3 linked regions of the Canis lupus familiaris genome follow. The protein of the gene in region 3 purifies or fractionates together with the protein of the main gene of each other region. This does not show direct contact. Links are inferred from orthologs where the notes say so. Each region holds a gene or a part of one and is shown on either strand. Other genes may lie near its edges.

Region 1 (4,205 bases), on a different chromosome or scaffold from region 3:
AAAGGAGGCATGCTGATCCAGTGGAAAGGCTCAGTAGTGTCATTGCTTCTGCTGGCTCGTAAGTGAGGCATAGCACCCTCTAGATAATAAAAACCAAAAACATGGAGACGTGGTTGGCCTAGTCACAGCGCTGAATTTACAACGTTGAAGAGACATTCTCACCATCCTTTGAGGAGTTTTTCACAAAGTATTTTTTCTTTTGATTATCCACAATGGGTCTGCTCATTTTTGCATGTTGCCTTCCACCCGTTTTACTTAATTGTGGTCACAGTGCCTACACTTTTTCTTACTATTTCCATGACCTAGCAAATGTGTTTCTGTAGAATCCTTAGGAAAATTTTAAATGACATGTAGATGTGCACCCTTATCAAAGTCTACTTTTGTTAGGAAATTTGAAAATACATAAAAATGTAAAGAAAATATACAAAAACAATCTGGATCCTTGTAGAAAAGACTTGTTCAGTTTGTCTCCTTCCGGTCATATAAAGATCATGCACAACGGGTGAAAAGCATTCCATACCGTCAAGGAACCATATTGCCTTCTAAAATAACTCTCTAGTAAGGATCCTGTTGAATAGTTCTTGTTCCCGAGAAGATATTTTCCCAAGGATTATCTGCTAGAAGTAGAGTGACCGGTAACAGGAATTTTTGACCGCGCTGCCCCTCTGCTAACGTGGCTGGGAAGGTGACCGGGGTAGTAAGTAGGTCGTGTTGGATCCTGCATCCACCCTAAGGCACGCTTCACTTTTCTCCTGTAAAAGTAGTTTGAGGATCCAATGAGGTAGCGACTTCGTGGGTTTACAGAATTACCGTCGTTCTCTCTGGCAGGAATGCAAGGTCCTTGAAGGCAAAGGGCTAGGTCTCACGTCCCCAGCCCCACAGAGCACAGTCGGGCGCAATCAGCCCTAAGAAGCTTGAGCTTCCCGACGTCGGGGCCCCTAGGTCAGCGGTGCGCGGAGCCCTTCCCTAAGAAACGGTGCGGCCGCCACACACTGGCGTCTCTGGCTCCGCGCCCCGGCTTCCCAGAGCGCAGGTGCGGCCTCGGGGCGCGCCGAGGGCCCGCGGGAACGGGACGCCCAGGTCGCCGGCCACCCCCCTGCCCCGGGAGCCGCGGCCGAGCCCCGCGGCGCCCGCAGCCCCACGCCCCACGCCCCACGCCCCCGGCCCGCCCCGGGATCGCGCCGCCGCTTGTTTACTCCCGGCGCAGCCTAGTCCGACCCTGAGGCCCGCCCTCGCCCGCCGCCTATTGGCGGAGGAGGCGCCAAGGCCGGCGACCATTGGGCCGGGGGAGGCGGAGGGGTAGGCTGCGCGGGAGGCCGAGAGGGGGCAGCGGGCGATGGCGGCGGCGGCGGCGGCGGCGGCGGCGGCTCGTCTAGGCTGGTTGCTCGCCGCGCTGTGCCTGGGCGTCGCCGCCGGGGAGGCCGCGCCGGGCCCGCGAGTGCTGGGCGTCTGTCTGGAGGAAGACGGAGACGCGGGCGCGGGGTGGGCGCGCGGGGGAGAGGCGCGGGCCGCCCCGGAGGCCGCCTTCCGCCTGCGCCTCTTCGGCTCGGGCTTGGCCAACAGCTCCTGGTCCTGGGTGGCCCCCGAGGGGGCGGGCTGCCCCGAGGGCGGGCCGGCCGCGACGCCCGGGGAGGAGGAGGAGGCGGCGGCGGCGGCCCCCGCGGGCGAGTGGCGTGCGCTGCTGCGCCTGCGCGCCGAGGCCCCGCGCCCGCACTCGGGGCTGCTGGCGGTGCGCGGGGAGCCGGGCGGCTCGGCGGCCCGGGAGGCGGCGGCCCCCGCGGGCGAGTGGAGCGCGCTGCTGCGCCTGCGCGCCGAGGCCGTGCGCCCGCATTCGGCGCTGCTGGCCGTGCGCGTGGAGCCGGGCGGCGCGGCCGCGGAGGAGGCGGCGCCGCCCTGGGCGCTGGGCCTGGGGGCGGCGGGGCTGCTGGCGCTGGCGGCGCTGGCGCGGGGCCTGCAGCTGAGCGCGCTGGCGCTGGCGCCCGCCGAGGTGCAGGTGCTGCGCGAGAGCGGCACGGAGGCCGAGCGTGCGGCGGCGCGGCGCCTGGAGCCCGCGCGGCGCTGGGCCGGCTGCGCCCTGGGCGCGCTGTTGCTGCTGGCCAGCCTGGCGCAGGCGGCGCTGGCGGTGCTGCTGTACCGCGCGGCCGGCCAGCGCGCCGTGCCCGCCGTGCTGGGCAGCGCGGGGCTCGTGTTCCTCGTGGGCGAGGTGGTGCCGGCCGCCGTGAGCGGGCGCTGGGCGCTGGCGCTGGCGCCGCGCGCGCTGCTGCTCAGCCGCCTGGCCGTGCTGCTGACCCTGCCGGTGGCGCTGCCCGTGGGCCAGCTGCTGGAGCTGGCGGCGCGGCCCGGGCGGCTGCGCGAGCGCGTGCTGGAGCTGGCCCGCGGCGGCGGCGACCCCTACAGCGACCTCAGCAAGGGCGTGCTGCGCTGTCGGACCGTGGAGGATGTGCTCACGCCGCTCGAGGACTGCTTCATGCTGGACGCCGGCGCCGTGCTGGACTTCGGCGTCCTGGCCAGCATCATGCAGAGCGGCCACACGCGCATCCCGGTGTACGAGGAGGAGCGCTCCAACATCGTGGACATGCTGTACCTCAAGGACTTGGCCTTCGTGGATCCCGAAGACTGCACGCCGCTCAGCACCATCACCCGCTTTTACAACCATCCGCTCCACTTCGTCTTCAACGACACCAAGCTGGACGCCGTCCTGGAGGAGTTCAAACGAGGTAACTGCGGGACATCGGGGAGGGGACACGAATGCCAGCGCCCTCCGCTGGAAGAAAGGGGGGAGGGAGTTATGGAAGCCTCGAGGGAAAGGGTCCCATCCTTCCCTCCCAGGGCCCTTTGAGATGATGGCCTCACAGGGCTCAGTGGCCTCTTGAGATACCTAAAGGCTGTCCTTCAGGGCGCCGTAGAAAGCAAAATCCCCCTTTTCCTGGTAGGCCTGATTTGGGGAGCCGTGTCCATTTGACTTACCAGCTTCAGGGTCATTTTTGTGGGCTTTGGCTTTGTAACAGGCCTATACTCTTAAATAGAAAGGAGGATAGTCTTCAGACACCTGGATGTTATCACCTGCGCACACAGTGTCAAAACAGCTGGGCCTGTGAAGTTTCCAGCGATCATGGTTTTAAGGTCTCTGATGGGCTGCTGCCTTGCTGATAACAGAAGAAGGGATGATGCCTGATTTTCTGCAGGTGTGGAAGAAACTTCCACTTTGATTTCACCAGAAGCAACCTTATGGATGATTTAGTCTCCCTCTTTTCTTTTCTTTTCTTTTCTTTTCTTTTCTTTTCTTTTCTTTTCTTTTCTCTTTCTCTTCTCTTCTCTTCTCTTCTCTTCTCTTCTCTTCTCTTTTTTTTTCTTTTCTTTTTTTTTAACTTCCTCTTTTCTAAGACTGAGATCTTTTGGCGTCTCCCTTAACTCCACAGTTCACCTCCTTTTACCTTGGTTTATCTGAGCAACTCTAAGGTCACATGGGTAAACATGGAGACCCAACCTCCAAGTGTGAAGGTATGGGTTCCTCTGTAGTCCTCTCCATCCTAAGGCGTGGGTGTGCTCCCCAGAGCGTGGCTGCTCTTTGTCCACCAGCCATGCTTCTCCTACACTCCTACAGGATGAAGACGGGGGACACCCCAGGGCTCTGGATGGGCTTGACCCTAAAGGCTGCATAATGTGAGGCTGGGAAGAGAGCAGATCCCCTGATCTTCCTGGCAGCTGTGAAGTCTGCTGGCCCCAGGCCACAAGAGTATAATTAGTCAGGGCGTGGTATTGAAAAGTTGGGCAGTTACTATCCTTACTGTACCTGAGGATTGAGTGGGGAGGCTTTGCTGTGCAGCTCTGACAGCTTGCTAGAGCATCTCTTGGGTGCTCGTGGCTCTTTCTCCCAGAAAGTGGTAATGCAGTTCCTCTGTGGGGAGGGGATGCCCAGGTGGGGTCTCTGATCTCTGGTGGTGAGTACTCCATCTGGGCCATTGTAGTACTCGAGGCAGTAGAGGTTCTTGTGGCCTGGTGGCCAGGACTGCCAGCCCTGGAGTGTGCAGAGGTGGGTTCCAGCCCGCCCCTGTCACATCCCAGCTTGAGACTCTGGGATGGCTGGACTGGATCCTCCAGGGCGCTGACTTTGAGCAGAGCACTGACTGATATGGAGAACAGTGAGTAGGGGGTCCAGCTAAGAAATGATCAAAGGCTGAACGAAGATGTGCAGTGGGCCGGGA
Region 2 (4,415 bases), on a different chromosome or scaffold from region 3:
ACACCAAGGTAGGGCTGTCCAGGAAGCAGTCATTTCAGGGCTAGGCCTGGCGCCACACCTCTCAGCTCATTTTCACATCATCAGCCCTGGCTGGGCAGTCCCCACCACAATTTGGGGTTAGGGGTTTGGTCCTCCTGGTGGGCAGGCATAAACAACACCAGCTGTGTAGAACATTTAGAGTTGTCCTGTCGTGTTCAAGGCCTAGGCCAGTTGTTCCTATAAGCTTAGTGAGATGGTGCCCTATTATTGTTCTTATCCCCATTTTATAGACAGAAACTGGGGCTGACACTCCATCGTGCCTTCCCAGTCTCACAAGCCTGTTAAGACAGCAATGTGGAGGGACCCCACTTTGTTATTTGTTATTTGTTGTGTGTGTGTGTGTGTGTGTTTTAAGATTATTGATTTATTTGTGAGAGACACACACAGAGAGAGGCAGACACAGGCAGAGAGAGAAGCAAACTTCCTGCGGGGAACCTGATGCGGGATTCGATCCCAGGACCCCGGATCACGACCTGAGCCGAAGGCAGGTCTAGATTCAATTTCCTCATCTGTTATATGGACAGATAACACTAACTCTTAGTGTTGTTCCAAGGATTAAATCAATATTTTGCATGTGTTTACCTGCTTATGGTCTGTTTTTTGCTCTAGACCGTGAAAATCATGCAGGGACTTTGGCTTATTCACGGCTGTATATGGTTAGAGTCTGGAACAAGAGCCGGGCACATAGTAGGTGCTCAGTATTTGTGTCCTGAATGGAAATGACATGAGGATAGCCGAGGCCAGACCCTGGCCCTATTACCCGCGAGAACGTTCTGTTCTACATCCTTAGTTCCCTGGACTGTTCCAACCGGGCAGCCAATGGCCAAAGGGTGCGGGGCCTGGGGGCTGGGGCCGAGGGGACCTACTTCTGGCCTTGGGTCAAGGTCAGCAAAACTCCCAGGAGTGCGGAGGCCATTTCTGCCTGAAAAGTCTCCGAGGACGCAGTCTGCAATGCCTGAGCCCTCAGGTTCCCCTTTCCTTTTTTTTTTTTTTAAATAATAGAAAAAGCATTTTTGTTGCCCGAGCCACCGCGGAGCGGAGGTTGCTGCGGAGAAGGGCCACCCTGGCCCGAGCACCAGTCTCTGGGAAGGAGCCGAGCCCGCGAGGCCCGGCCGGACCGCAGGGACGCCCGGCGAGGCCAGGCAGGAGGCCCGGCGGAGGCGAGCGGGCGGCGCGGCCGCGGGCGGGCGGGAAGGCTGGCGGGGAGGGCGCGCGGGCGGGGGGGAGGGGCGAGGGGCGAGCGCCGCCCCCGCCGCCGCGCCCGCCGCCGCGCCACCTTAAGCTCGGGACCCCCTTAAGGGCGGGCGCGGAGCCGCGCGCCCGGAGGCGGGGCCTCCCATGCAAATGAGGGGCGTGGGTCGGCGGGGCGGGGCGGGCGGGGCGCTGACCTGACGTCAGGCCGGCGGCCGGGGCAGTTGGCTCGGCGGCGGCGAAGCGGCAGGAGCGGCGGCGGGAGCGGGGCCGCGCGGCGGGGCGCGGGGAGCGGCGGCGGCCGACCCGGAGCAACATGGCGCCGGTGGGCGGGGGCGGGCTCCCGGGCGGCGGGCCGGCCCGAGGGCGCCTCCTCCTGGCGGCGCTGCTGCTGCCGGTGCTGATGTGGGCGCGGGGGGCCCGGGGCCAGGGCGACCCCCAGCGGGGCGCGATCCTGGGCATGAGGCTGGCGAGCTGCAACAAAACGTGTGGGATGAACCCAGATGGCATCATCTTCGTGTCCGAGGGCAGCACGGTGAACCTGAGGCTCTATGGCCAGAGGCTGGGCTCCATCTCCAGCAACCTGATCTCCTTCACCGAGGTGGACAACTCCGAGGCCGTCCACAACTCCACCAACTGTCCCGAGCTCACCAAGGACCTGGTGGTCCAGCAGCTGGTCAACCTGAGCCGCGGGAACACGTCCGGGATGCTGGTGGTGCTCACCAAGTTCCTCCGGAGGAGCGAGAACATGAAGCTGTATGCATTGTGCACCCGGGCAGGGGTGGACGGGCCCTGGCAGAGGTGGACCGATAAGGACTCGCTGCTCTTCATGGTGGAGGAGGGTGGGAGGGTCCTGCCCCTCTGGCTGCACATCCTCCTCATTATGGTGCTGCTGGTGCTGTCGGGCATATTTTCTGGCCTCAACCTGGGGCTTATGGCCCTGGACCCCATGGAGCTTCGCATCGTGCAGAACTGTGGCACCCAGAAGGAGAGGCGCTATGCCCGAAAGATCGAGCCCATCCGGCGCAAGGGCAACTACTTACTCTGCTCCCTGCTTCTGGGAAACGTGCTGGTCAACACCTCCCTCACCATCCTTCTAGACAACCTCATAGGATCTGGGCTCATGGCGGTGGCCTCCTCCACTATTGGCATTGTCATCTTTGGGGAGATCGTACCTCAGGCCTTGTGCTCCCGACACGGCCTGGCTGTGGGTGCCAACACTATCATTCTCACCAAATTCTTTATGCTCCTCACCTTCCCCCTCAGTTTCCCCATCAGCAAGCTACTGGATTTTGTTTTGGGCCAGGAGATTCGCACCGTTTACAATCGGGAGAAGCTGATGGAGATGTTGAAGGTGACAGAGCCCTATAATGACCTGGTGAAAGAGGAGCTAAATATGATCCAGGGTGCCCTGGAGCTACGGACCAAAACCGTGGAGGATATCATGACCCAGCTCCAAGACTGCTTCATGATCCGCAGCGATGCCATCCTGGACTTCAATACGATGTCGGAGATTATGGAGAGCGGCTACACCCGCATTCCCGTGTTCGAGGACGAGCAGTCCAATATTGTAGATATTCTCTATGTCAAAGACTTGGCCTTTGTGGACCCCGATGACTGCACCCCCCTCAAGACCATCACCCGCTTCTATAATCACCCAGTACATTTCGTCTTCCATGACACCAAGTTGGATGCCATGCTGGAGGAATTCAAGAAGGGTAAGGCCTGGTGAAGTTCTGCCCGTTAACTGGCTTTGTGACGCCTCTTGTTCGTTCGCTTGCCTGTTTTGTGTCTGCTGGTCCTAGTGTTTTTGTGTGTGACTGCCCATCACTTCCTGTGCCTCTGAGGTGAACGGTATTTGGGGCGGCAGGAACGGTTCCTAAGCATCTGCCGTCTGCCAGGTACTGTGCTTTGTACTCTAGGTGAATCAGAGCCCAGACAACACTTGTGCACTTGGAGGGATAGAGCAAGGCCTCAGGAGCTATGAAGCAGGACAGAGTAAGGCTGATGCCTTAAGAGAGGCCATGGAGATTAGAGTGTGGGCCCCCACATCTGATTGGGGTGAGGTGTGGAAGGGGCTGGGGACCTGGGAAAACCTTCCTAGGGGAGGCAGCATCTGAGGAGAGCCTGAAGATGTGGGGAGACTTGGTCCCTGAGACAAGAGGACCCCTACAAGGAGCCAAGCACCTGAGTGGGGAAGCAAAGGCTGTGCCTGTGGCCCAGCAGGTGGTCCTGTTGAGCTGGGTTTGAGCTCTGCTGTTCAGTGGTCAGTGGGGAGAGGCTGATGTCAGGGTGGAGAGTTTGCTCAGAGCTAGGAGCTGTCGGAAGTTTTCGAGCAAGAGTGATGTTCCTGGGGCTTCTCACCCACAGAAGCTGGATTGGGAGATCTCTGGGTTCCCCACTCAGAACAGTGCCAAGTAATGCTTTCGACTATTCAGCAGAAGCAAGCAGATCAAGTTTTGGTTACTGTTCTGTCTTTTCCCAGGCGCCAAACATAAGCTTCCCTCCTGTGGTCTGCTGGAAATCTTCAGCTGGCCGTGCAGTGCCTTGTGTTTTTTCTCACATGGGTTCTTGGCCAGTTCTCAGGTAGTTAGAAAGGCACTTGGAGGTTTTACTCATCAGCCTCAAAGCTCAGGGCACACACCCCTTTCCTTACGTCCAACAAAACTTTCCTCCCACCTCTGCCACTCAGAAGTCCTCAGTGGCAGTAAACAAGCCAATTATGGAGTGAAACCCTCCTAGGCCAAAGGGAGTGAGGAGGCAGAAAGGGAAGCTCTTTATAAAGGAATGGGGGAGGGGAGGGAGCACATCTTAAATCCAGGACTTTGCTTCCCTTCCCCATAGGTAGAGCTCCTGCTGGCTAAGGCAGCCTGCCAGCCTAGGGCTGGGAGCAGCTTCTGCGCTCCAGTGGGGAACAGGCCTCAGATGCTTGTCGGTCGATTATTTCATGAGGTGGGGAGAGAGCCTGGAACTGGATGGGTCCCTGGTGAGGGGGTGGGATAGGTAGGAGCTGGCCTTGCCAGGTTTGCTCTGATCAGGGCCAGAGTGGGAGATTAGTCCCCTCCCTTTTTCAGAGGGACAGACTGATTTCAGAATCTCTTCAGACAGAATGAACCTCAGCATCAGAGCTGAGAAGGATTTGAGTAACATAAGTCCAAGTGCAAGACAGCCTGGTAAGGTGGCCT
Region 3 (2,586 bases):
TTGTAGAAAGACATGAAATCATCATTTTAAGACTTAGAAAAAATCCCCCCACCCCCAAAAAAAGGGGAAAAAAAAGAGTTGAGCAAACCTGATGTATACTGGTATAAATGTGGGAGATGTAAACATAAAGTGAGCAGGCAAATAACCATATAGGCCCTAATTTCTATGTTTGAAATGACTGAAGGAATAAACCACATAAGGTCCAGAGTGTTCATAGTTCCTGGGATTTTAGTTCTGTATGATACTAAAAATATACAACAAGTATTGTGCTGGGTATTTTGGCACCTAATCTTTCTAAATTTCTTATATATTGATAAGATTCTGGCATGGGAATAGACTTAAAGACATAACTCAATACTGCATGATTTCAGGAAAGGTCAATTGGTACAAGTGATAAGCACATTTTAAATGCTGTAAAGCAAGAAACTTTTGCTAAGTGTCCAAATAGTTTGATCGTAACCCAAACATAGAGGTTGCAATTCCATCAAACTTGTGGCCTGATAAAACCGCTTTCCAATACTCCTATGGAAGCTTCATTAGACTTAATCACCAAGCCAACATATTGGCTAATATGTGTATATATGACAAATTAGGTCCTGTTTCAAGTTCCACTTCCAAGGCAATGACATCAGGCACCCCAGTTTTATTGAATGCAACAGTTGTTTCTATGACCATTGGAGTCTTGGAAGCGCAGCCGCATTTTAGGACGATACTTCTCCAAATACAAAAGTTGCTTGCTGTTAAAAGCTCCACGCCGCTTTTGTCTTATGAACTGTACTGCATCTTCATATTTCATTCCACCTTCAATTAATGCTAGGGCAACAAGCACTGGAGCTCTCCCAAGGCCTGCGACACAATGGGCAGCAATACAACAACCAGGTTCTTCACGAAACTTAATTTTTACAAGACTTACCCAGTCATCAACAATCTGGTTGGATGGTGGTGCACCATCATCAAAAGGCCAATCGAGAACACGGATGCCTTCTTTCTCCACAAGAGTAGTGTCATAAGTTGCTTCACATACTCTAACTATTGTTGTAACTCCATACTTCTTAAGTTCCTCTATAAATTTGTTTAAGGTCGCATTGGTTGGATTGTGTGTAATAAGAAATCTCATGTTCTTGTATGTGACTTCCACAGGAGCTGGGCGGTTCATTTGAGCCATGTTAATTAAATTAGAAAACACTCAATAGGGTTATGAAAGAATTTTAAAAAATTGAATACAGAAATGATGCAAAGAAACTGAGTCTACTTTGATATACTCCACTTGAAATTCTCAGTGCTTTGAGTATGAAGTTGGGAGTAATGGGAAATGAAATGAACCTCCTAACAATTCTTCAATCCAGTAATACTGAGGCAATAGAAAGGAAATGCACTGAGGTTTACCCCAAGCAGGTCAGAACTCTTGTAACATGCTCTGTGGATTTCAATTCAACACTTCTGGGTCCAGGTTAACCACTCTTATGGGGGCTTCTTGGTGGAGTAGTAATGAATTTCTACAGTTCACTTGTCTGCACAGAGGTCGTGCTGTGCCTGGCAGTAATCTCCACTGCCCTTCAGAAACTCCATAAATGTGTGACCAAGAACACCACAGAACTGAGGAATATGTTTACTCATTGAAGATTGTGGCCTAATCATACAGCCGGTCCCGAGGCGGCAGCTTCGCAGGCGGTGGTGGGGGCACCAGGCTCTACCATGGAGTGAGCGGCTCTGGTACTCAACTTTTTAAATCAAAATACAAATTAAAACCACCATGAGGTACTACTACTATCTGCCATTATGGCTAAAAATAAAAATGACTAATAATACCAAGAGTCGGAAAGGATGAGAACCAAATGAAATGGAACTCTTTCAGAAACCACTTTAGAATAACTATTGAGGAGGGGCACCTGGCTGGCTCAGTTGGGGGAGCATGCAACTCTTGAGCTTGGGGTTGTGAGTTCGAACCCCATGTTAGGTGCACAGATTACTCAAAAATGAAATCTAAAAAAAACAAAAACAAAAACTATTGATCGGTTTCCACTAAAAACAATTACCACATGCCCCCAGGAGTTCCACTCCTGATTATATACAAAAAGAAATATGCACTGTTCCCCGTAAGAACACTTAGAAGAATGTTCATAGCAGCAGTGACAGCAGCATTAGGCAAAAACTGGGGGCTTTTCATAAAATAGAATACTACGGAGAACTGAGAATGAACAAAGCACTGTTATATGGAAGAACAGGGATAAATCTCACTAACAGAACATTCAGCCAACAGACAGGAAGTACAGCTTCTGTAATCATATTAACATAAATTTCAGAAGCAGACAAAACTATTCTATGGCTTAGAAGTCAGAGTGGTGATTACATTTAGGACAACAGTGATCAGGGGAGTTTATGGGTTTCTGGTAATAGTCTGTTTCTTGTTCTAGGTACAGCTGCCTTCACTTTGTGGAAATTGAGCTATACATTACAATCTGTGCATTTCTCTGTATGTGTGTTATACTTCAATAAAACATTTTTTTAATTCCCATAGAAACATTCATTTCGCTTTGCCCCTAACAAATAAGAGGTATCAAGAACTCCTAGCTCAGGTATGAAGCC

Evidence for each region. Proteins that work in one complex are often made in the same cells at the same time.
Region 1: the proteins of protein tyrosine phosphatase type IVA 1-like (region 3) and CNNM3 purify together in Homo sapiens (affinity purification with mass spectrometry; 6 studies listed by BioGRID and IntAct, with this or other methods). This does not show direct contact. The link is inferred for Canis lupus familiaris from reciprocal best matches to the Homo sapiens genes PTP4A1 and CNNM3.
Region 2: the proteins of protein tyrosine phosphatase type IVA 1-like (region 3) and CNNM4 purify together in Homo sapiens (affinity purification with mass spectrometry; 6 studies listed by BioGRID and IntAct, with this or other methods). This does not show direct contact. The link is inferred for Canis lupus familiaris from reciprocal best matches to the Homo sapiens genes PTP4A1 and CNNM4.

What each region holds. Positions count from the first base shown.
Region 1 is NC_049231.1:46,208,986-46,213,190, reverse strand, and holds the start of CNNM3 (metal transporter CNNM3), read left to right. Parts: upstream 1-1,336; coding exon 1,337-1,680; intron 1,681-1,791; coding exon 1,792-2,717; intron 2,718-4,205. UniProt on the Homo sapiens protein: Probable metal transporter.
Region 2 is NC_049231.1:46,251,484-46,255,898, reverse strand, and holds the start of CNNM4 (metal transporter CNNM4), read left to right. Parts: upstream 1-1,546; coding exon 1,547-2,948; intron 2,949-4,415. UniProt on the Homo sapiens protein: Probable metal transporter. The interaction with the metal ion chaperone COX11 suggests that it may play a role in sensory neuron functions. May play a role in biomineralization and retinal function.
Region 3 is NC_049248.1:18,637,361-18,639,946, reverse strand, and holds protein tyrosine phosphatase type IVA 1-like, read right to left. Parts: upstream 1,226-2,586; 5' UTR 1,166-1,225; coding exon 644-1,165; 3' UTR 624-643; downstream 1-623. UniProt on the Homo sapiens protein: Protein tyrosine phosphatase which stimulates progression from G1 into S phase during mitosis. May play a role in the development and maintenance of differentiating epithelial tissues.